Mus musculus: one gene and its partner. The protein of the gene in region 1 interacts with the protein of each later gene in a biochemical or structural test. Links are inferred from orthologs where the notes say so. Each region holds a gene or a part of one and is shown on either strand. Other genes may lie near its edges.

Region 1 (4,955 bases):
GGCCAGGCCTCCACAGAGGCACTTCTGGCAGCCACCTTAATTTTTTTTTTTTAAAACCCACTGAAGAGTGATTGCACACACCTCTGATCCCAGCACCTGGTAAGCAGAGGCAGGCAGATCTCTGAGTTTGAGGCCAGTCTGGTATGTGGAGGAACTTCCAGGACAGCCAAGGCTACACAGGAAAACCTGTTTCACCCCAACCCCAATTTTTTCCCTGTTTTTAATATGTGTAGATATATATGTTTAATATGTGTAGATATATATGTTTGTGGATCATGTATGTGTAGCGCTCATGGAAGCCAGAAAAGGGTGTCAAATCCCCTAGGACGGGAGTTGTAGTGGAACTGTCATGGGATGTTAGAATCCAACCTTGGTCCACTAGAGGAGCAGCTAGTATTCTAACCCAGAGCCAACACTTCTGCTTTAAAGCTCACCTTATCTCTGGGTCCCTTACTCATCAGTGATTCTCAACACAAGTCTGCTCCAGCAGGCATCTTTCCAATTCTGGGCTCTTCTTTGTGTCCTTTAACTTGTACTTTGCAAACACAAGTTTACTCTTCCTTGCCAACCATGTTTACTTCTACCAGCCATACCTTGCATGAATCTCAGCTGGCCCATGAGCCCCTCCCTGTTTTTAGCCTCACTCAGCAATAGAAGCTGCTTTGAGCTGCATGGATCAGACATTAAGGAACCCACCATTTTGCTGTCTGGGGGTTTAGATGCTCCATCTTGCTTCCCTTTAATCTCAATTATTTCCCAGGCTGCTACTAATACACACCTGCACCAACTCTTTGACTTCTGATTCTTACCAACCTGGCTTCCGTGGTGTTCCTGTCTTTGTGAACATGTGTGAGCATTTCTACTGGTAGTTCTACAGAACAGTGGCAGGTCAGCTTTACTGGTGACAGCAGAGATCTTCCAGAGAAACAGCCTTCACATAACCCAGCAAGGGCCAAGAGCTTCTGCTGCCCAGCCCTTGGCTGCCTCAGGTCTCCTTCTCGATAACCCAGAAGAGCCTGACAAACGTGTACTCTGCTCCGTTGCATCCCTAGCTGGTGTCTTCTAAGACTGACTTAACTCCAGGGTCACAATTATAGCCAATCCCCAAGGCCAACACCGAGTACAAGACCTCTCTCCCATGGCATTTGGTACCACTACAACAGCTCAGTTCCAAACGTCTGCAGGCTATGCTCCATTTCTTCACGTTCACCTTTTTCCTCCTAAGCATGCTTCTTGGTTTTCCTAGCCAGTTTTGAGAGACTTGTCTCATTGTATTTGCTCAGGATTCCAGCACCACACGAAAGGAAAGAGACCAACAACTCTGTCTACCTCAATCCTAGCTACATACCCCTTAAAAGAAAAAACTAACAAAAGAACTCAGGCAGACAAGGAAATCCCAAACAGAACAGGCAAGACTCCATCTAGTGGTTCCCAATAAACTATGTTTTAGTACTCCTGGGGAACTCTGCATCAGGTAACATCTATTTATAAACCAGCTCAGACCTGGCCTTACTTATCCTGGGCAGAATGGTGGTGGTGGGCACTGTACCCCCAAGCAAGTTCTGCTGAGCTGAACAGAGATCAGTCCAGCCTTCTCTTCTGACCCCATGGTCTGAAGGCCATGAGCATCCCACAGAACACAGCAGATGGGGATGAGTAAGAGTCTCCTCTCTCCTTTAGTGCTCTGAATGGAACTCAGCTGATATATGCTAACCACTCACGTAATCTATGGGAACTTACAGACTCGAGTTCTCCTGTGGGCACAAAAGCACCCAGAAGCTTCAGCCTGACACAACTCTCCCTCTGCCATGTGTGGTACATCCTAATAGGCTGGGATTAGAGACCACACTAATTACATGCGCATCTACCCTGGGACTTGTCATCCAAGACAACTCACCAGGACCGACTATCCCAGCACTGGCACCTGCCTACTAGGCCAAGCACTCACAGACATGGCTCCCAAAGGGTGGTGGTAGTGCTGGGAAGTGGACTGCAGGCTCTTTGCACAACTTACATTTTGGTGGTGAGGACGGATAGTCATCTTTGAAAAGCATCCGTAGCTTGAACAAGCCTCCTTCCCATGGAGTCTGTGGGGAGGGAACCAAGGTTAGACCAGTGGCTCACTTGCCAAGGTAAGCCCAGGAGAAGTTTCCTGAAACCTGGGTCCTTTGGGCTTCTTCTCTAACTGCCCTACACCACCATTACTGCATACTCTGCAACTGAGCCTTGTATAGATGAACCCAAACTATGTTTTTGCTCAGACACTAAGCTGACCTAGAGGTCTGGGTTTGGTGAATGCCTGAAGTTATAGGAGACCATCCCTCTTACATGTGCTGGACAAGGGCAGACAACCGGCTGCACTCAGGCCCATGAGTGTAAAGAAACACGGCCTGGGTTCTCCATGGGCACCTCACCATTGGGGCTTACTGCTTTGTAGCCAGCAACCTTCACCTGCTCTTTACCCCTGACCCCGGGCTGTTCACTGATCCAGTGATTTGCCAAGGTCCAAGCCTCCTTACCACCACAGGCCACTCCTTATCCAGGGGAGAGCTGTGACCTGGCAGGCTAGCTGTGGTCACAAATATGCAAACTTAGGTCCCTTCTAGTAGTTCTGCTCCTTCAGATCTGTTAAGTTAGTAGGTGCAAAGCCAGCAGTCACCCTTACCCCCTTCTTTCCAGGGATAGCGCACTCCCAGTTCATCAGGTTCATTGTGCCATCAGGGTTCTTTGTTGGGACAGCTACAAAGCCCTGAGAAAGAACAGTCACAAAACAAAGCAGCTCAGACGACAAGCCTAGCTGTCCCCCAGTGGCCACAGGCTGAGACCACCACCCCATCAGAAAGCCCCTCCTACGGCAGACACAGAGTGCTCCTTACAAAAGGGTGGTCCTTCCTCCAGGCTTTCCTTTCCTGCGCAAGGCGGCTGAGGGCGATCCCCGACATATTCAAAGTCCCTGGAACAGAATCCACACAGGGAGGGTTAGGGAAAGCACACACAGACCTCCTCTAAGCCACCCCTACCTCCTACCCCAGCCACAGAGGGCTGTTACCAAGAAGCAGGTAAATGAGGCTGGAGTCCAGCTGGGCAAGCTGCCCTTGGAGCAAGTGTAGCATTACACCCCTCAACCGGCCCCTCAGAACGCCTCCGGGTGTAGGGAGAGCACCACCGCTGTCTCTCTTGTGCTTTACAAACTCAACTGCTGGAAGGGTCAGTGAGAAGAGCCTGCACAAAGGCTGTCACCTCCCTGGCAGGCACTGAGCATCTCTGGAGAGACTTGGCACCCACTCCACAGTCAAATCCTCAGGACAGGCAGGACCTCCCAGGTACTGCACACACTTATCTGAGGCTAAGATGTATGGCCAGCTTAGAATCAGGCCTGAAAGGAGGACAATCACTAGATGTACTAGTGAGAAAAATCTATACCACAGGGCAGAGCGTGGTCAACTTCCATAGGCAGACTGCCCCAAGAGGCCAGGCTATCAGCCTATAGCTTACCAGCTCATAGTTCAGAGATCTGCCCTATGACCCTAGGGGAAGGAGGGCAAGATCCAGGTCAGGCCAGCAGCCTCTGCCAGAGACCATGGTGGCACACTTGACAAGGCCCTTAGGTGAACACCTCTCTACCTAGGCCCACAGCCTGCTGCTTTGACTGTGATGCCAACCTGGCTACCACCTGCTTGAGTTTTTTTTTTTTTTAATCTGCACATCCTTTTTAATATTACTTTAAAAATAAAATCACATGAAACAATACTCAAGAGACTCCCAAACCCACAGAGCACAGGGATTTAGGGGTGTGTGATCACAAGAACATGACCCCTGTGAACAAGAATCTAGCAGAGCAATGGGTATTTCACACTGAGTTGCTTCTCAGAGGTTCCATATTTGACCCCAGCTTCAGGCTTCCATTAGGCTTGTGGGTAAAATCTCCCAGCTGGACTAGCACTAGCCTAGTCTCTCGTTTTCAGCTCAGTCTTCACTCTGAGGCGGAACCTCCAACCACCTCTAGACAAGAGTAAGATTCTTGCCAGAGCACATCCCTGCTACAGCTTCTGCCAGGCTTCAAGCAGACCTCCCATGAGTTCTTGCTATTTAGACTTAGCTCAGGCTGCCCATTTTATCTGCAAAGCTGTGACTACCCTAGGATTTACTGCGTGTTCCTGACCCAGCTAGGATCCCTGGGCTACAGGTGGGCTGATCAGATATGCACCTCCATCTGTAAGCACAGTTGTTCTGAACCTGAACAGACAGACCCACTGGGTCAAAGCATTCTGGTGAGTCCTGCACTGAAGTTACAGATGACTTGTTTTAAGTTCAGAGTCTCACACTGTAGCCCAGGTTAGCCCAAAACTCCTGGCTAGCTCCTGGTATTGGGATTACAGGCATGAGCCACTACATCTGGCTCCTAGACCACTTTTTCTTTCTTTCTTTCCTTTATTTTTGGAGACAGTCTCACCATGTGGCCACAGCTGGCCTTGACAGTCACGCACCACAGCACCTAGACTGCTTGTGATGACTGTACAAATCCAAGTAGAGAGGGGCTGGGACTGCCATCAGAGGTACAGCATCACCCCAGAGCCCAGAGTTCAGGAAATACTTCAGTGGGTGAGGTCATTGTAAGACAAACACTTCATATCAGCATTTTTAATATCCTGTACACTCTAAGCCAACATGAAGAACCTCTTTTAGAAGCACAAGCTGGGACTGGCGAAATTAAGAGTACTAGATGCTCTTCCAATGGGTTCAACTCCCAGCACCCACATGCCAGCTTATGATTGCCTGAAACTCCAGTTCCAGGGGACCTGGATGCCCTCGAACACACAAACATACAGGTAATAGTGCACATAAAATATATTAAAAAAAAAAAAGCACAAGCCACCAGGACAAGCCTTGACAATGTTGGCATTCCTTCTAAGCATACCTGGCTCTATCAAACATCCCGATTCCTTTTTTTATAA
Region 2 (4,955 bases), on another chromosome or scaffold:
CAGACAGAGCTGCGTTTAGGGGCGAGATGGTAAGTCCTGAATCACAAGTCAGGAAATGAGGTTGCTCACACTGGGAAGGTCACTACAGCAATGTCACACAGGTGCTTGCCAGAGCAGGAAGCTGTCAGCAGGGGTAAAGTGGGAGTCACAGGAAAGGGAGCAAGTGGTGCATGACACAGCAGAGACCCAGGGGACCTAGGGGACATGTCACAGAGTCAGGGATGTCTAACCTGGGAGCTCTGGGATTGGCAGGTCAGCCTCTGAGGGGGTCTCACTGTCTGTGTTCTCATCTGTGGAGCCTGCATACGGGTCCTCGCCATTCTCCTCTGGGGCTGGGGGCTGCCTTTGTTCCCTCTGTTTGGCCACCCTGGGCGATCAAGAGTAGTGGAGGGTAAACACTTAGGGAGCAGACACCCACACCCAAGGCCAGGCAGACGTACCCCCTTCAATCCTACCTCCTCAGTTCATCCTCGGTGTCCCCAGAATCTTCTGCCCCGTTGTCCCGTCCTTCTGCCAGTAGCAACCCAGTCAACAGGCTTGGTTCCTGGGACATCTAGTAACACCCCTCCCAGAATGGCACCCGAGAGTACAGCCAGGGCCTATGAACTTGACTTCAGTTGCCCTCTCAATCTAGTTTTCAGGGTACACAGTGGCCCCTCCTCTACTCCTTCACCTCCATACAGCCCTCCCCCTCAGACCCAGAAAGCTAGACACCAGCCCTGCCCCCAAACCCAGGGCTCAAGGCCCTAGCCCTCCTCCTCCCTCAGACATAAAGCGTGTAGACCTCTCCCTCAGATTCTAACCTGACTCTTCCCCCTCAGTGTCACTATTGTCCTGGGGTCCTGGTGACGGTGCTTTGGTCTCTTTTGGGGTTGGTGGCCTCGGGGGTGAGCTGGGTCCTGCTGCCTGGGTCTTGGCTTTGGGCTGGGGCCGCTGAGGAAGAAGGGCTAGGTGAGGTTGGGGCAGTGTGAGGCTCTGGACAGCCAGCAGCGGGGAGAAGCAGGAAGCTGAGGTATTCAGCAGACCTGGTTGGCACCCAGTATTCCCTCCTGGCCCCATAGGGGCATCAGACCTTTTGGGGAAGCTTGGGAGCTTCGTCTTCGCCGCTCTCACTGTGAGAGTCCCCTTCGTCCTCACTGCTGGATCCAAGGCCTGCCATGAGGTACCTAGGGGAGGAACTGGGCCTCAGGCAGAGGACTGAGAAGTAGAGGGAGGTGGGGATAGAGAAGGAATCCTGCTGCCCTCTGACCCCTCCCAGCCCTAGAGGGGCTCCACTACGTGCCAGGCAGTTCAGCCACCCCAGGCTCTTTCCCTCATGGGGAAGATCTGTTCCATTTAAGGCAAGAAAGAGCAATGGGGGGGGGGGGTCTACTCTTTGAGGATCAAAGGAGAATGCCAAGCAATGGGGGAAAGTCTCAAATGCAAATTCAGGTGGAACCCCACATCTGGGGTCTCTGCATCTGTACACCCAACCAATCACAGACCAGAAAGTCTGTGTCTGCACTCAACATTCAGACTCCGTTTGCTCGTCATTCCCTAAAGATTTACATGGCATTTACATAGTGCTGGATTCAAACCACAGAATGATTCAAAACATGGAAGAGCGCCGGGCGGTGGTGCACACCTTTAATCCCAGCACTCGGGAGGCAGAGGCAGGCGGATTTCTGAGTTCGAGGCCAGCCTAGTCTACAGAGTGAGTTCCAGGACAACCAGGGCTATACAGAGAAACCCTGTCTCGAAAAACAAAACAAACAAAAACAAAAAACAAAAAACCCAAAAACATGTAAGAGCACACTGGCCTAGTGAGCAGGTCTCTAATCTCAACTACTCAAGAGGCTGAGAGGCAGGATGGCCTGGGAACAGAGTGAATTGAAGTCCAGACTGAACAACTTAGTAAGACCCTCCTACACTCCAAATCAAAACCAAAAAGGCTAGGGATATACAGCACGGTGGTAGAGCCCTGACTAGAACCCCCAGTGAGGGGCTGGGGGTGTGGCTTAGCATGTGGGAAGCCTTGGGTTCAGTTCTTAGACATCCACACTCACAGTACGTGAGGCTGGAGAGACGGCTCAATGTTTAGAGCTTATACTGTTCAAAGGATCCAAATCTGGTTCCCCAGGACCCACATCAGGTGCTCACAACTGCCTGTAACTCTAGCTATAGGGGATTTGACACAACTGGTCTCCTCACGTACCTGAACACACATGTGCACCACCGCACAGATACACATACACATAATTTAAATAATAATCTTTTTTAAATGTATGAAAAGATTCTATGCAGTTTTTATGTAAATACTCTAGCATTTTATATAAGCAACTTGTATATATTTAAAGACTAACTTTTTTATTTTACACGTATGAATGCTTTGCCTGCACATATGTCTATGCATCATATGTGTGTGCTTGGTGCCTATAACAGCCAGAAGTCATCAATCACTCTGAGACTGCAGTTACAGATGGTTGAGAGTTGCTATGTGAGTGCTGGAAACTGAGTCAAGGTCTTCTAAAAGAACAACCAATGCTCTTAACCACTGAGCCATCTCTTCATTTTCAACCATCCTAAGATTTTTGATTCTTGGTACTGTGTGTGTGTGTGTCCTAGATTCAAGTCCCTACTGTGGCACACTAGCTAACTATCCTTACACACCTCAGAGAATAAAGGCGCCCACAGACACCCTCCGCACATCTGTTCAGGATGATCACAATACTGAAGCTAGATAACTAGCTCCCAGGGATCTGTGGAATCCAAGCAGGATGTGGAGTCCCCACCACTTCCAGATCAACTGACCAACCCACCCACCTCCCCTCACAGTCCCCGACATGAATGTGCCAGGGTTAGCCCTGCTTATTAAACAGACTCAAGCCACGACCTCACTGGGATCGGAGTCGGCTTCTCTCCAGCTCCACAGCTCCTGCTGTTGGCAGCCAGTGGTTCTTCTCCCGCCCACTGCGTCAGGAGATGGATGCTCATGCTGCCCATCCCTGCTTGCTCTGCAGCCCTGCATGCCCTCTGCCTGGCTGCTACCCATGCTTCTCATCCCGCGATCACTGTGCCCCTCCTGAGCTCCTCAAAGCTGGGCTCTAACACTTCTGACCCACTCGCTGAAGTGAGCACAGGGCTCAACCCCAGCGTCCTCACTTCAGTCACAGCTCTGCCTGGCACCCAAAGGATGCCAAAGGATCAGTTCTGAGGAATGGCATACAGCCCTGAGGCTCCCTTCCACCTCTGCACAGCCACAACCCACAATGTGCACAAAGCAGCCGTCATTACAAAATCCAGTGGCCCACCCAGGCTAGTGACTTCCCATCTGCAGGCCCAGCCCGTCTTTGAAAACGGCTTATGTTGGTTTGAGATCGCCTGAGCTACCCAGCAGGCCCCAGGCTCTTCATTGCCTGCTCTGGGCTAAGAGGCAGGTGTGTGCGCTGCCTAAGAGGCAGGTCGTGGGGCCTCACCTCCGGGAGGGCAGCCGGCGCCGCATGTGGTGACAGTCCAGCACCCACTCTTTACGCACAATCCGGCCTCCAAGGCCCAGGACCTGGCTGTATTTGGGAGTGTTGGCAAAGGCACAGCTGGGAGATGCAAAACAGGAATGTCAGACATGATCTGATGGACAGCTGAGACAGAACAGAGATGGAGCTTAGGGAGGGACGCAGAAAGCTGAGAACTAAGGGGGTAAAGAAGTGGGGGCTGGAGGGCACAAAGAAGCAGGGAGGGAGGATAGCAGAACAGGGACAGATGAAGCTAGCGGGGGCATGCAGGGTAGGGCAGGGCAGGGCAGGGAACCGTGTGGCAGGTCAGAGGCCTACATGAGATGTGTGCTGTCTGGGGTCCAGTCTGGCCGATACTTGGCCCCCAGTTCCAGGGCCTTGTCCCGGAGCTCTGAGCGGAAGGGGTTCTGGAAGCCACTGAGCACCACCACCACCCCTTGCAGGATCTTGCCAAGCTCTTGGGGTCCAGTGCGAGCCCCCCTAGGCTCTGTGCCTTCTCCCCGGGGCTTCCCTGGGACGGCTCTCTGTGCTGGGGTAGAGGCTGGAGCTGCAGCTGGAGTACGACTAGGGACAGACACTGGGGAGAAAAGAACAGAAATTAGGTTGGTGCCCCATCGAGCCCCAGCTCTTACAGGAAGTCAGGCTTTCCGCCTCCCTTCTTAGGATGGCAGGTTCAAGACCACAGCCCTTCCCTCATGACACACAAGCCAGGGTCACTACAGAATCAAGGAATCCAGTTTGCTTACATTTGGGTCTCTTGAGGGTGGATGGCCCTGCCGAGGGTTTGCTGGGAGGTTTCCTGTCTTCTAGACTCAAGTCCAGTTTTCTCTTCCCTTTGGGAGGCTCCTGAGGCTGAGGAGGTAGAGATGGGTTGGCTTCCGGCTCTCCTCATTCTCCACTGCCCCAGCGTCTGATGACCTCACCTTGGAAGAGCTGCCCACAACCTTGGGGACTGGAGAGGCTGAGGAGGCTGCACTAGAGGCCTGCAGTGTAGCTGCTGCATAGCTGGGTCCTGCTGGGTCACTCGTAGAGGCTATGGAAGGACAAGTGGACTGAGGGTGAGAGGGCAGGGCCACAGTCACCTTAGCTCCCATCTATCAGGTATCAAGTCACTCTCACATCCAGAGGTGACCCAGAAGTTTAGATTGTACCCCTGACTCAGTAGTCCAGGCCCCAGCCCTCCTCCCCAGACCTAGAGACCTGGCCATGCCCTCAGCTCTCAGGCATCATACATCCTAGGCTGAACTCAAGACTTCCTACTTAGCAGAGGAGACCTTACACAGCTGGCCCTCCTGCCTTGTCTCCCCTGAGCGGAGATTTCAGGATTGGGCTCTATGCTAAGTAAGCACTCCACCAACGCCATCCCTAGCACCCCGAGTCCCACAGGCACCTGATGACGTCTTGTTGATACGACTGAAGAAGAGAGCCCCTGGCTTCAGGGAGTTGGCACTGTCATCCTCCTCT

Evidence for each region.
Region 2: of the proteins of Ube2i (region 1) and Xrcc1, one has a biochemical effect on the other in vitro, tested with the Homo sapiens proteins (2 studies listed by BioGRID). The link is inferred for Mus musculus from reciprocal best matches to the Homo sapiens genes UBE2I and XRCC1.

The regions. Positions count from the first base shown.
Region 1 is NC_000083.6:25,266,527-25,271,481, forward strand, and holds part of Ube2i (SUMO-conjugating enzyme UBC9), read right to left. Parts: intron 2,954-4,955; 5' UTR 2,943-2,953; coding exon 2,877-2,942; intron 2,750-2,876; coding exon 2,666-2,749; intron 2,088-2,665; coding exon 2,015-2,087; intron 1-2,014. UniProt on the Homo sapiens protein: Accepts the ubiquitin-like proteins SUMO1, SUMO2, SUMO3, SUMO4 and SUMO1P1/SUMO5 from the UBLE1A-UBLE1B E1 complex and catalyzes their covalent attachment to other proteins with the help of an E3 ligase such as RANBP2, CBX4 and ZNF451.
Region 2 is NC_000073.6:24,566,427-24,571,381, reverse strand, and holds part of Xrcc1 (DNA repair protein XRCC1), read right to left. Parts: coding exon 4,882-4,955; intron 4,525-4,881; coding exon 4,415-4,524; intron 4,344-4,414; coding exon 4,238-4,343; intron 4,069-4,237; coding exon 3,810-4,068; intron 3,573-3,809; coding exon 3,456-3,572; intron 1,167-3,455; coding exon 1,073-1,166; intron 934-1,072; coding exon 804-933; intron 554-803; coding exon of another isoform or gene 511-553; coding exon 456-510; intron 368-455; coding exon 231-367; intron 1-230. UniProt on the Homo sapiens protein: Scaffold protein involved in DNA single-strand break repair by mediating the assembly of DNA break repair protein complexes. Negatively regulates ADP-ribosyltransferase activity of PARP1 during base-excision repair in order to prevent excessive PARP1 activity.